Linked DNA regions of Lepisosteus oculatus. The protein of the gene in region 1 binds, or shares a complex with, the protein of each later gene. Links are inferred from orthologs where the notes say so. Each region holds a gene or a part of one and is shown in the gene's direction. Other genes may lie near its edges. The genes, in order: tonsl and mms22l.

What was found.
Region 2: tonsl (region 1) and mms22l share a complex: the UniProt entries of both Homo sapiens proteins name them as parts of the MMS22L-TONSL complex. The link is inferred for Lepisosteus oculatus from reciprocal best matches to the Homo sapiens genes TONSL and MMS22L.

Annotation. Positions count from the first base shown.
Region 1 is NC_090705.1:22,085,281-22,092,533, reverse strand, and holds the start of tonsl (tonsoku-like protein), read left to right. Parts: upstream 1-4,182; 5' UTR 4,183-4,393; coding exon 4,394-4,418; intron 4,419-4,852; coding exon 4,853-4,948; intron 4,949-5,112; coding exon 5,113-5,255; intron 5,256-5,783; coding exon 5,784-5,967; intron 5,968-7,253. Other genes in the region: zftraf1 (zinc finger TRAF-type-containing protein 1), read right to left, coding at 1,390-1,704. UniProt on the Homo sapiens protein: Component of the MMS22L-TONSL complex, a complex that promotes homologous recombination-mediated repair of double-strand breaks (DSBs) at stalled or collapsed replication forks.
Region 2 is NC_090697.1:32,372,165-32,379,377, forward strand, and holds the start of mms22l (protein MMS22-like), read left to right. Parts: upstream 1-4,113; 5' UTR 4,114-4,195; intron 4,196-4,928; 5' UTR 4,929-4,968; coding exon 4,969-5,132; intron 5,133-5,421; coding exon 5,422-5,547; intron 5,548-6,541; coding exon 6,542-6,594; intron 6,595-7,213. Other genes in the region: PC3-like endoprotease variant B, read right to left, coding at 2,665-2,671. UniProt on the Homo sapiens protein: Component of the MMS22L-TONSL complex, a complex that promotes homologous recombination-mediated repair of double-strand breaks (DSBs) at stalled or collapsed replication forks.

The DNA of each region.
Region 1 (7,253 bases):
ACGGAATTGTCATTTGGTAAACAAAATACATTAGTCTAGGCTTAAGTGTATGGCCTAAGAAAAATAAACTGGTTTAAGCTCAAGTGCAACACTAGATGAGCTTGAAATTTCGCAAAAAATTTCACATAATAGTGCTATGCTAAACAAGATCATATTAAGTAGTATATTAGACACAAGAGCTTTTTGCAGCAGTGTAAAACTTAACTACTGCCTACTATCCTAAGTAATCACTTTAGTTTTAATCAAACACTGATCAGAACTTCCTGAGGATAAGACGATCAGATTTTTAACAATGAGCTATTTTTTCACGATTCAGCTGAGTGCCATCTCTGAAGCAAAGTTCAAGCTTTGGAGAAAGAAATGTACATCTTGAGAAGTAACCTTGTGATTTAAACGAAGAGTCTGCCACAGCTCTCACGTAAAAAATGAACATACAAATTAAAGAGGCTAGAAAGACTACATTAAGTCACAGTGCTAAGCATTGTTACAGGCTACCTGTACTTCAGTATATATACATATCTTCCATTTTATGATGATCACTGCCAAATTAGAACAAAAATTCACCCCTCTTAATATTTATATTGCTGGTCCCCAGACCTGATCCTGAAAACCATGAATCCTTCAGTTTTTCAGGATCTTTTCCTTCAGCAGTTAAAAATCACATCAGTGTTGACAAATTAAGATAGCAACAATTAAGAATGCAAATTAAGATACATCATTTCAGTAAAAAAAAAACAGAACCTTGAAAGCCCTCCTGTACCAGGGTTGGACACCCCTGCCCTTTCCTATAGTCTTTGCTTAAATTAGAACTTGATTCTCGCTGGTACTGTTTTTTTTTGCTTGCTTTCAATTTTCCAGCTGCTCTGATGGAAACCTTTGCACTAAAATATCACAGGCTGTAAAGAGATGATCTGCAGTTTTGCCCTGCAGGAATGCAGCATCTCTTACAGTTATCTGAAGCAGCAGGGAGAGACTCGAGGATTTTATTACGTGTCATTGTGTAATGGCGTTGGTGGAATCATCGCTTACCTGGAGAAAGGTGACATGGTGGACGGGCCCTGATGTGTATGATGTCTACACACAGCCAGGCGGCGTAGGGACGCATTGTGTTACACACCAGCACACACTCAATATTACGAAAGGCTTCAGTTTATTGTATTTTTTTTTAAGTCGGCACGACATTTTGGCAAGCCCGAACAGGCACACACTGCAGACAGCCGATTCAATACAGTATTTCATGTTATGAACTCACAATGCACTTACATGACAAAGCTGCAGCACACTTGCAATTTCGGTTCTACATTCGATTCACAATTCTTACTCATTTCTCTTTGTCAGTCATTTTACCAAAACACAACAGACACTCGGTAATGTAATATTTTGTTTTACCTGGTAGACGGACGCTTTGGGCAGGTCTAGGCACACGGTACAGCACAGGACAGAGTACAGTCTCTCCTCCAATTTCCCTGCCTCGCCTTCCTGCAGTCTCACCCGCTTCTTGGGCGGCGCGTCCGGGTCGGCCTCAGGCCCCGGTCCCTCTCTCCGCAACCCAGCCTCGTCCTGTCCTCCGACTAGCCCGGCGCCCCCTGGCCCCGCTTCGAGGCCGGCTCCCACCGCCCCAACCCCAAGCCCGGCCGAGGAAGAGGAGCCCGGAGTAGCGACAGCCGCGACCCCCACATCTCCCCTCTCCTCTAGAGAAGACATCGGGGATGCAGCGGGTTGTCTCTTTGTCTGTCTGCCTGCCTGCCTGTCAGCCCGAGTTCAGACGCGCAGTGCGCCCCAAACTGAATGTACAGCTGTGCAATGAAAAGTGGTTACACTATATTTCGTAATATTAGATGCAATAATAGCGGTGCAATTTTGTAATGCCCAAGAAGTGACGTCTGCATCTAATGAGAAACCGTTGAATTATATTGATGCTGATGTCTATTATGAAAGAAATTTTACATTTTCCCAACACTCAAAATATAGATCTATTTTGCTTCAGCTGAAAACAAAACAACACACGTTGAATTGTCTTTACTGCTCGGTGTCACCACCCAGCCTCCAGATCACCGGCACCCCGGGCTCAGTACATCGATCCTCCGCTTTCTTCCTACCCAACCAGCGCTGAGCTCCTCTGGACCAGATCCGCTCCGACTTTCCGTCTCTATCGCGACTCAGCTTGACATCGACTCCTGGACTGGGCAGCCATCTTTGTTTTTCTTCTATTCGTCTCCTCCTCTCAAAAAGACTCCTGAACGTCCCCCAATCTGTTTTAGGATTACTCTACAAGGGTCACAAGTGGAACCAATCAGAATCGTTGTTGGGGAAAGGCTGTTAATGTTTGCCAGTACTTATCGGTGGCTTCACTTGCCAGTCCTGTGTGCCATCCAGGATTGGTTGTTAATGTGGCGTTGTGTAGTCAGGTGACAGGGATATTTAAAAAGACAGGGGCCTCTTACGTACTTATTCTTCTCTTTACGACTTCTTGCGGGTGAATAAAGAGCAGCGCCTGTAAAGGTGACTGGAGAAAGTCTGAAACAAATAGAGGAGAAATAGGACGTCATTACCAGGCGTCACCGTGGCAACCACTACACCGCGTTTTGGTATTCTGAATTTTAACTTTGAGCAGTGCACTGCAGTTGCAAAGGTGAATACCCTGTAGTTTTTACTGTGTACCTCTGTATTCTGCAGTTGCAAAGGTGAATACCCTGTAGTTTTTACTGTGTACCTCTGTATTCTGCACTGTAATTAAACTCTACAGCACAATCACAAACCCTGAAGTTCAGAACGTAATTAATATGGATTTTCCTGTGTGCAGTAACTGTCTAGAAGAAAAAAAATGGCACCGGAAGTCCGGCTGTGTGCAACTGGCTCGGGTCTGTGACATTGTTAAAGCAAGGACAATTCCTAAATAGGGAGGTCTTAAAAATAATTCTTTCTAGCATTTATTTTGAAATAAAACCAAGAAGTAAAAACAGGAATAACTGCAGCAGCGGTTAAATAAATTACAATTTAGACAAGGTTGGGAATGTTCCTATTTATATATTGTGTCGCATAAAGCTACTGTTTACTTCCAAATTGTAGTATAAATGGCTATGAAGGACTTAAAGAACACCACAACTGGGATATTTCTATATAACGTCAATCTTGTTGTTACTGGATAGCTGTTAATACGTGAATATCAGGAGCCCTTCCCTGTGATTAGCAGGGCCTGCAGATTTCCCTTTAGCTCAACTGGTTTGGTCCCTGTTGAGTGACGCCATTGGCCCGGGTTTGAGTCCCCAACGGTGGGGGTGGGAGAGCGACCTGAGACGGCAGCAATAAGGGTGCATACCCATGTGAACCTGAGAGCATTACAATATATGTATATATGCTTAAAATGTTTAAAGTTTCTCATCTTACTGTACCTTTACGGTGCATAATGACAACCTTGTTACGCTAATTCTGTCGAAATAAAACTACTGAATCTCTTATAGTTTACATGTTCTCGATTTCTGTTTTGTTTTACACCGCTGGTGGACATTTCACTAAACTTACAGTATAGCATTGCTGTATTACATTTGCAAGTAGCTCAAACCATTATTTTTTTTTAAATGTACAACTTGTCAAATAAAACACTCGGGAACAGCGACCTATTGTATATAACGTTCCTATTGCTATGGTGTGAAGTAATTACCTCTAAAATGCAAAGGGTAATAGTTTACAATCATCCCTGATTGTATTATTTTTAAAAAGACAAGCTAGAGTTTTTGACAGACAATTCCTACTCTTTTTAAAACTGTGTATTAATAAACCTACCATAGTTTCTACATGAATTTATGAATTAATTAAATTCATCCATTACAATAATAATATATTTCATTATACAATAACCAATGTCGGAACGCAGGACTTTTAGTTAGAAAAATGCAAATATATAGTTCTCAAAACAGTCCATAACATCTCCCTTCAAAATATAAACAGGTATTTGTAAGACTGTAATTCTACTCCATGTTTATTGTCGATGCTTGTACTACAGTACAACTACACTGCATTTGTTTATAATAGATGACGTAGTTAGATATGATTGATATTCCTCTCATCTAATCAAAATAAAGAAATGCCTTCCGGAAAGAACGTCACACCTTTGAAACAATTGCAAAGTAGCTATTGGCTAAGCAGTTTTGAGTAGCCAATGGGAGACAGGAGGAGGCGGAATTGGTGGGGTGCGCGGTTTATTGTGAAGAGAAAATGGACAACAGATACAGTCGGGTGAAGAATTGTTTTTAATTCTTTAAAGATGACCTGTGTTGTCATCTGTGAGGACTGACACACTGAATATATTAAACGGAGACACACAGGGAGATAACCAAGTAGGCCTTTAGCTGTTGGAGATCGGAGCGCCTGGACATCGGGTTGCCTGAGCGAGATGAGCTTCTCTCGGGAGATAAAGCGTGAGTTAGGCGGCGGGTTTGAATTGGGACTCGCAGGGTTTATGTAATCGATCTGTCCTTTGAAGACAATGCAATCCAAGTATGTGATAAGGCAGAGTTTTGCTTGGAGATTATATAAGCTGCCAAATGGCTGGGAAAGATACAAATGATTGTACCTTCGGTTAATGCTGCCCGTGCCTTTGAATCTGATTCTTCTTCTCGTTCACGTCTAGCCTGGTAACGCGCATGTTCTCCCTAGCTTTCCTGTAATCCGTTGCCTTTTCTACTTTCACCTTCAAACTCTTCTGATTGTACGTCTTTGATCCCTGTTGCTGCACATCTTGTGACTCTCCACTGATCTGTTGGCTTTTAGTAGGCTTGTATAGAAATTGGTAGCATTTCAAATGTAATACAGACATCCTGACACTAAACCTGTACATTTTTTTTATCCTCAGAGCTGCAGAAAGCAAAGACTAAAGCACAGAGCACTAACAATCTGAGAGAAGAGGCCAACCTGTGCAACCAGCTAGGAGAGTTGCTAGCTAAGAATGGTGAGTGTGTACACTAATATAGTGCTTATTGAGTAGGAAACCCACTAGTTCCCCATTGAAGTGTAGCCCCCCACCTACTGTATACCGCCATTGTCAAATGTATGGTCAGTGAGTGGATCGGTGAAGTGACTGCGACAGTAAAAGTAATGTCACTCTCTTCTTAGGAGATTTCCAGGCTGCCATTGAGGAGCACCGGCAGGAGCTGGTGCTGTCAGAGGTTCTACATGATGTGATTGGCTGTGCTGTTGCTAACAGAAAGATTGGAGAGTGCTTTGCAGAGCTGGGCAACATAGAGGCAGCACTGAAGGTAAGATATGGCCTAGTTGGGGAAAACTGAAAATACAGAGGCTGGTGTACTAAGCATACAGCCTGGAGAATATTCTCACAGTCCAATAGGCTATTCAGCCCCGTTGACACTGTCCATAGGTTTTTAGATCCAGGAATTAAAAGATCCAGGTGTATAACACCCTACGATATGGCCTGAATTTATTTCGCTTGTTAGTAAAGTAGTGTTGCGTGTATTATCTTAATGCAATTCTGCAGTTCTTCAAGCAAAATCAAATCTTGATGAATTTAATTTATGTGAAATTAATCTGAAATTGATGCACTTTTATTTAGTTAATTTGGATTTTTAAAAGAATCTTAATCGTAATGAAGAACATAGACTCATTTGGTGGTGCTTAAGGTAAGATGCAAAGTAGGACCACGAATGAGCATCTCAGTCTCTTGCTCTATAGAGTAATAACTCCCAACTTCCACTTTCACTCTTCGTCACTGGTCTGAATCTCACTTCCTCTCATTCCCCGTTATTCATATCCCTATCCCTCTCCCTCAGCACCAGAGGCGCCACCTGTCTCTGGCTTGCTCAGTCAACGATGCAGCAGAGGAGCAGAGGGCCCTTGCCACCATAGGGCGGACCTTCCTGTACCGCTATGAGTCTGACCAATCACAGGACAGCTTACTGCAGGCGGAGGAAGCCTTTAAGAAGAGCTTGGCGATCGTGGATGAGCGGCTGGAGGGTGAGTGGTACTTCTCTGTGTAATAGTGCACTGAGAGTGTTAGGCAAGTTATGTCACCCCCTCGACAGTGTGGAATTCTGCTGTGACAGAGGACCCGGCCTTTTGGCATCGTAGAGTTATCACTGTCTGGGGAGTTGCAGTGTGTGTACTTGGAGATCGCAAGTGAACTGATTCAAATCCTGATAGGAGCAGAAAGAGCTGCAATCCTTGTGGTTGGACATACAGTCCTTCCTAATCGAGAGACCACGTGCGGAAAGGCTGCTGTCCGAGCCCAAGGTTGTACTCCCTATTTACTCACGACTTCACAGCAAGACACAACGACAATTGCATCATTAAGTTTGCAAATGACACCACTATAATGTCAATGATGATTCGATGATGATGACGACGAGTCCACTTACAGGGATGAAGTCGTACAGCTGCTGTGGTGGTGTTATAGCAATAACCTGGACTTGAATGTGAGTAAAACAAAAGAACTAATAGTGGATGTTCGGAGACACAGGCCACACACTCACAGCCCACTCAGTATTTATGGAATGGAAGTGGAAACAGTCACCAGCTTTAGGTTTTTGGGAATTCACAGTTCTAATGACCTAACCTGGACTGTGAACCCGGACTTTATTTTGAAGAAGGCTCAGCAGCACCTCTATTTCCTGAGGTGCCTCAAGCGATGGGGGATGCCAGTACCTGTGTTGGTGAACTTCTACTGCTGCACCATCGAGAGCATCCTCACCAACGGGATCACCGTGTGGTACGGCAACACCTCTCGTTGAGAGAGTAAGGCACTGCAGAGAGTGGTGAATGTGGCCCAGAAGATTATAGGCTGTGGTCTCACAGAGATTAAACAGCTGTATGAGGACCACTGCCGTGGTAGAATTCTGGCCATCACAGAGGACAGTGACCACCCCGGGCATGAGTTCTTCACCCCACTGCCCTCAGGCAAGAGATATAAGAGCATACGGACACTTACCACCATATTCCTCAATAGCTTCTACTCACAAGCAGTGTGATTGGTGAACATATTTCGCCATGCCCTCGGACCACACCTATACTGTCTACCTCATTGTAATTTTATTAATTGCACATCTGCAGTCATTATTTACATGTCTGCATTGTTTACATTCGAGCTGTTTACTTGTACATTGACTACTGTTTGTTTGTATATTGTCTTGATGCACTGTCTGCACTTTGTGTTTTACACTTTTTTTTAACAATCGGGAGACTTTCTGTCAGTAAAAATTCCATTGTACCAGTACAGTACATGTACTGGTTACATATGGCAATAA
Region 2 (7,213 bases), on another chromosome or scaffold:
TGAGTCTCCATTTGAACGAAAGAGAAATGGAGAAAAGAATTCAACAAAATAAATGGATCAGCATCTGGGGTGACACATTCTTGACGTTTATTGTCCTTTAAAAACAACTTGTGTGCAAAGCAGTGTTAGGAAAAAAAAAGGCAGAAGACCACATCCTATCTTTATGTTGCAACATTAGTTTCTACTGTAACACACTCATGAAAGTCACTTGGGTGGTCTTTTGGATCAGAGGCTATCAAAGACTATGGAACAGTAGTTACTAAAGACACATAAACAAAGTAAAGAACTGGAGCAACACCATTTCCACAATTCCCCGAATACTTATGAACACTAATGCCTGTTTAATTACAGGCCAACTTTACTACACGGCACATTAAAATACCTAGTAGTTAACACGTCTAGTTAAATACAGATGAATTTTGAAGTTACTCAGTAACAGAAAGATGTTATTGTTTAGTAATACATTGGTGTTGGCATGGCAGGTAGCACTACTGCCTACTGTCTCACAGCTCCAGGGTTTCTGACTCAATTCTGGCTTGGGATGCCTGTCTGTGTGGAGCTTGCATGGTTGCCCTGTATTTGTGTGGGTTTTCACAGAGGATGTTTGTTCCCAGCACAGCCAGTGCAGGCTGTAGAGAAACCAAAAGAGCACAATAAGATGAATGATCTTGCCTTTTTCTAATTCTTTATGAAGAACTCCACATGTTCCGAAATACTACTCCCTTCCTGAAACTACATTTACAGTACTCCATTGACTTCTCAACAGAAGTTGCTATTGCAGCCTATTTGAACTCACATTTGTACAAAGATGGAAGACTCCCATGGCTTTCACTGGTAAAATATGGTTCTGTCTGAACATAAATAACTTCCTCTACAAATGAAATTTGGCTCGCCTAGCTAATTATGTACAGTTTAAAACCCTATCACATGACAGTAGAGGCTCTGAGTTCAACTGAAAATAGCTATTGTTCAGCACTGATAGAAATATCAGTGATTTATCTTTGTGTATTAATGCCAAGAGTGAGTTTATGACCATTAAACTAATCTTTAAGATCCTAATTTTAAGTCCTTTAACAGGAGTTGTGGCAGACATGAGAACTGCCTCAGTGATCAGAATCAGAATGTTGCGATTTCATATATTTTGCCATCCATTAACATGTGATATTGAACTTCACCACTTTTTCATAGAAACTCAAAAGTGGCCCCAAACATGTACATTGGAAAACACTTGTGCACACCTATATTTTAGTAAACATGTTTATAACAATGAATCCAAAATATAAAGTCTGAAGAAATAAAATATAAAATACACTTCAAATAAAAAAAAACTCAGTCAAGACAAATAGTGTTTTCTATTTAAAAGCTTACCTATGTACATTCCAGTACCTAGTTTCAGATGATATTATTATAGTTTACACTGTAGTTTATTTGTATTATTGTTATATTGGGGTAAGGTCTGGCCCAATGAGCCTTTGTGGCTCAAACAGATCTACCTACTCAGAGTTATCTTATTTTAACACTTTTATTTGTGTTTTGGGTGATTATAGTGAGATACAATGTGATATTTGCTGTTAAAAAATTAAAGTGGTGACACAGCTACAGGTACATATACAGTACTGTACCTATGTATCTTTTCTCATATTCATGCTAATTGATTGCTCTTGCTCAATCTCAGTTTGACTCAAACATACAATTTAAATAAGCTTTATGTTCTGTAATTAACAGGACTGCTGTCACACAGACAGAAAAAAAACAAGCAATTTCCCTGTTTTAAAAGGAATATCACCACCACATCAGATTGAATGCTTCAAAAACTTTGAGGAATCACTAGACCTACAGCAACAGGTGTAGTCTTTATATATTTAGCACAGTTTGGTTAATTAAAAGGAAATATAACACACTATCATTTTACCTCCTTTAAAGGCCATCTAGGGGATAACATTTCATTAGTCACACCATATAGTTTGTGTGAAATATGTGTTCCACTAGTTTAACATCTAACTGCTGCCTTGTGGAAAACTAATTACTGAGTCACTCTGTGAGCTTCATAATGTCCTGCATTTAAGTCTTGAACATCATACATAATGCATGGGAAGCAGTCTCTGCACTCTGATTACAGAACACTGTCATTAAATGAGCAAATTAAAGATGTGAATAATTCACAGACTGAGTGTATTGGCAGTGCTGCATTGTGAAATTAGAATTTCTAATAGGCACCGCAATTTTTAACCCAATTAACACAGAAAAAGAATAAAAATGTATAGAACAATAGTATGAATTTTACATTTATTGTCAGTGTAGCGGTGTTGAAAAACAGGATATCCTTCCACAACTTTTTTTCCCCACACAAAAGGCAAAACAGAGTCATTTTAAATTTCAGAATATATGTGATACTATTATCTGATGCATAAAAATGCTTTTTAATAACAAAGTAAAAATCAAAACATACAGTGTGGATTTTCTAATTAAATATAGATGTATGAAACGTGACCACATTTTCTTAGCTAATTGTTTTATTTGTTGCAAGTTCCAGGTTTGAACTGTCCTATCAGAGATTTTGTTTATGTTAGGAAAGGGTTAATTCTAAATTTCCCCAATGTTTAATCCTACTGTGTACAAAACAAAGGTCAACAGACCTAATTAGCACAATATGAAGAGTCTTACCTTCCATTCACGTTTCATCGGGATCTTTCTTTCTTGAAGAGTCGACTGTAGCACATCACATTGATGGTTTACTGACAAAGAGAATAATCTCTCATCAAAAATAATATCAAAACCTTTGTGCCTCGGCTGTTTTTTTCGTCTTCCATTTTCGCATCATAGTCAACGAGGAAAAAATCCGTTCCTGAGCTGGCTGTGTCAATTTCCACTTCATGGTTTGTAGACAGACTTGCCTTGCTACAAATAAAACAAAATGTTAGCAGAAACGCAGTGATCTAAAATCACTTCAGCCAACGATAACTGTTTAGATGTCTTTTCATTTCTGTGTAGAATTTACTGAAAAACGCGTGGTGGTACTGAATGCAGACACAATGCAATGGAGAGAGAAGCTGTCAGTGCAGATAAATCTGCATATGGAAATCAGGGTTATCCTGGGTCCAATTTTATTTAACTCTAGTGTACTGTTTTTTAATTAGAAAGGAACTCTCAGAGTCAGACTGTTCAAAAGAGCTACATAACGTTATTTTCATACACTTTGCGAACACAATTTAACATTATGTCATTGGCTTTAAAAAAATAATGGGAAGTTTTTTTCAAAGAAAATAAACCAGCGACCACAGTCATAACAAATGTACTGTACATCTTTTCTCCCCTCTAGGGAAGCCTAGACTAGTAATGAACAAACCTAAAATCGATGGACAGACATGAGCTCCTCTCATATATTTTCTTTATATAGACAAATGTAGAAAACGGCTTTTTAAAATAATTCTAGTTAAGAGGTAAATGCAATAATATTATGAGCAATACCATATAGTAATGTGGTACAGTATGCACCGAGAGTATGCAAAATCTTTTGTCATCACTCTCCAGCTGTTCCTTTCACCTGTTATCAAATGAGGATACTACAATGTTAGCTTCAAACTCGTAACCCTTGCCTTTATTTGCCTTACAGTCACAAACCCATTTCTGCTGACAGGTGTGTTGATAATGTTTCTTTCGCTCTTCATGGGTGCTCTCTATTACAATTTTAAATTTTAATCATTTTAATTACCGAATCAGTTTGGATCGAATACAGTATATGTTTTCAGTCCTTATTTGTATTCCCTGCCAAATGCCAGAAGAATTAATGGCCAAGTATATAAATGCCGCACTAGCTACTATCTTGCAAAATGTCTTGAAACAAGCAAATACTGCATAATATGTATCTCAGGATAAGAGTATGCACACAATGACATGTTACACTTATTTTGCATTTACTCTTATATATTACTAGTGTATTGTTCACGATACGTTAAAAACTATCCAGCAGCGGTTGAAAAGTTAGGACCTTACTTACTATTTGGGTAACATCATACGTGACGGGCACGTGACCGGAGTCTCGCTTTCTGCCGAACTTCTAGCCAATGGAAATGGAGGGGAGGGACTAGCCGCTCTCCCTGCGCATGCGTCTTCTGCCGAACTGGCGGCGCGGGAGAGACCAAAACACAAGGAGTTCTTTGCAGTAAAAAGGATTGGGCTTCCTGTGTGTGTGGTTGTAAGTTATAGGAATTTATTCATTTTAATCTTTGCAATTTATGGCTTTGCTTTCAGCATTTCGGTGTGAAGGAAACAGACGTTAGCATGCTGTAGGCTGAAGTTCTGGCTATTGAATTACATAACATGGGTTGGCCTGATTATTAATCACAAAGGATGGGTTAAAAAGTTAATCGGTCTTGTATTATTAAATAAAATTAGTAAAATGACCGCAATGGGCTAAATTACAGAATCAGAAACTGCAAAAATGTAGGTTTTGTATGTGTACTTTCTGTTTACAGGTGTAAGTTTGTTTGACATACTATAGCTGTATTTCTGCTTTGCTGACATTTCGTGCACTGTAAGTAACGCTGAGCAACAAGTAATTTCAAACGAACGATATGAAGCCACTGTAGATGTCATAACCATAAAAAGAAAATAAAAATAAACAGTTTAATCCTCAAAGCATTTTCAGTCTAGTGGTGTTTAACGAACCTTTTATCAAGAAAAACTAGCTATTCAACATATAAAACCATAAATACAATTTGAATTAGAGGTTTCGTTTCATAACGTACAATAGCCATTTATTGTGACTATTGTTCGAGTCAACAGATCAAATCGTACTGTAGTGGCAGCTGCCTTGATGAATTTTATACCTAGCATTTTTATCAGCTTGCTTTTAACCGAAAAATGTTGCAAAGACACAAAGGTGATTGTTGATTTGTGATCAGTTCGTAACCCTTCACAAATCGCAGGTCGGCGGCGTGTCTGCCTTTTCAGCTTCTTGAGGCGGAAATGGAGGACGACTTCAGCCCCTCGCTTACTCCCCCCGTGTCGCCCTTTCTGCTGGACAGTCAGTGCGAGGCGAGCTCTGTCCCGCCGCCGTGCTTCTGCTGCGTGTCCGAGCCGAGCAGGGCTTTCTCCTCTGAGGGCTACATTACAAGCGGGGCTCTGAAGAGGTAAATTCAAGCAGTGCCAAGTCATGTACCCCTCCTCGTCCTGCACTCACGGCAGTACCATTTGACTGTACCATGAAATGTGTGTACTTAGGGTCTGAACATTTTGGAAACATCTTTGTCCTCTTTCTGATTTTCGGTCCAAAAGTCTAAATTGCTTTGTAGTTCCTTTCAGTAAACACTCTAAATGCAAATTTTGACTGTGTTGTTACTGTCCATTACAACAAGTTATACCTTACTTTGACTGTCATGAAAGTCTACTGAATTGTGTCATTTTTAAATTTACCTACAGAATCCTGCTAAGACTGGATCCTTCCCCAGCTGCATATGAAACCGATACTGTGGAGATCTTTGGCTTTCTCTGGGTGACTGAAACTGCACTGGTGGAGTCTGCTAAGCTTCTCTTCAGCTTGCTCAAGTAAGAGAGTGGGAACCATTGAGCTACCTCCCTCCCTGGAGCAAAGCTCATTCTTTATTGCAGTCATATTTACTGCGGTGGCTCTGAATGGCATACAGTGCGAGCTAAAACCCCTTGAAGGGATGTTGCTGCATGTAGCACATCCATTCATGGGCAGTTTTGAAATGGTGTGGAATTTTTATTTTGCAGTAATGTCCACCACTGCTGTAATTACTGTAAATGGTGGCACTGTGGCTAAGGATCTCTGCCGGTGGCTGGAAGGTTGCCAGTACAAATCCAGCAGCCGGCAGAGGAATCCTACTCTGTTGGGGCCCTGAGCAAGGCCCTTAACCCCAGCTGCTCCAGGGGTGCCGTATAAATGGCTGACCCTGAGCTCTGACCCCAAGCTTCTCTCTCCCTGTCTGTGTGTCTCATGGAGAGCAAGCTGGGGTATGTGAAAAGACAAATTCCTAATGCAAGAAATTGTATATGGCTAATAAAGTGATCTTATCTTAGCATACCAAACCACGGTATGTACCACAAACAGTTTTGTGGGGTCTTTAATGATCTTTAACAACACCACCTACAATACCAATTTTTCAGTAATGATCTCCCATCCCAGTACTGACTAGGTTCAGCTTTTGTTAAGCGTCTGAGATCGAAGAACCTACAGGGTGGTAACAGAGTTGTCACCTAATTCCCATTCATTCGACAAAGCAAAATTAATATAACATTTCAATGGAACTTCTTGAAAACCCACTTAAACTTCTAGTTTTATGACTTTTGTTAGTCTACAGTGCATTGAATGGAAATATGAATTCTGTACCATTTTAACCATATTTACAGACCTTAGAAACCTCATTTAGATTCAATCTAGTATCTGTCTGCATGTAGAGTGAAGGTATTTTGTTTATGGAAGGTTTCAGATATGTGTTTGGTGTTTTGCAGGTGTATGGTACGTTTCGTTCTAGTGGTGTTTTTGAAGATTTATTAACACTGCTTTCATTTTTTTCAGACAAAAAGTACACAGATTGGAAACCCTGGTTCAGTCCAACACGCATGATTTTGGTAAATGTTTTTATTTTACTTGCTAAGGTTCTCTAATACTGTACTAAAAAAGGAGACTGAGGAAAGATTAATTTGATTAAAATACGGGGAATTCTAAATCACTATATGTAAAGATAGTCATAAAGTTCGAGACTGCGACTTACAATTACTTAGACTGATTCTAAACACAAACCCCAACAGCTTTGCCTGAAATATTTTTAAAGAGCAGACAACCCACTACTCCATACCTGTGTGCTATATTAAGATAAACATTAAATATCCCCAGATTAATTGTTCCAAGCCTTTATACAGTAATTGCTGACACTACACACTGAAGTGAATGGGTATAGCAACAAATCTTCATTTATATTTTGGGTTTGTTTATAAAGGTAATTTGCCAATGATTTTTTAGCAATAGTAATGTAAATGGTTAATTTACTGTTCAGTTTTAAGTACGATTGTAATATCTCAGCTCTTAATACTAAGGTATGGATGTTGGCTCAAACATGCCTGTTGGCACATTCTGACCCAGTCTACACTCACTTTTAGACACTAGCTCTTTATTTTTAAAATAAATTGCTTTTTACTGTATTAATTTGTGCACACCTGTCTCCATTATTTGATTGTTTTGTTGCCCAAC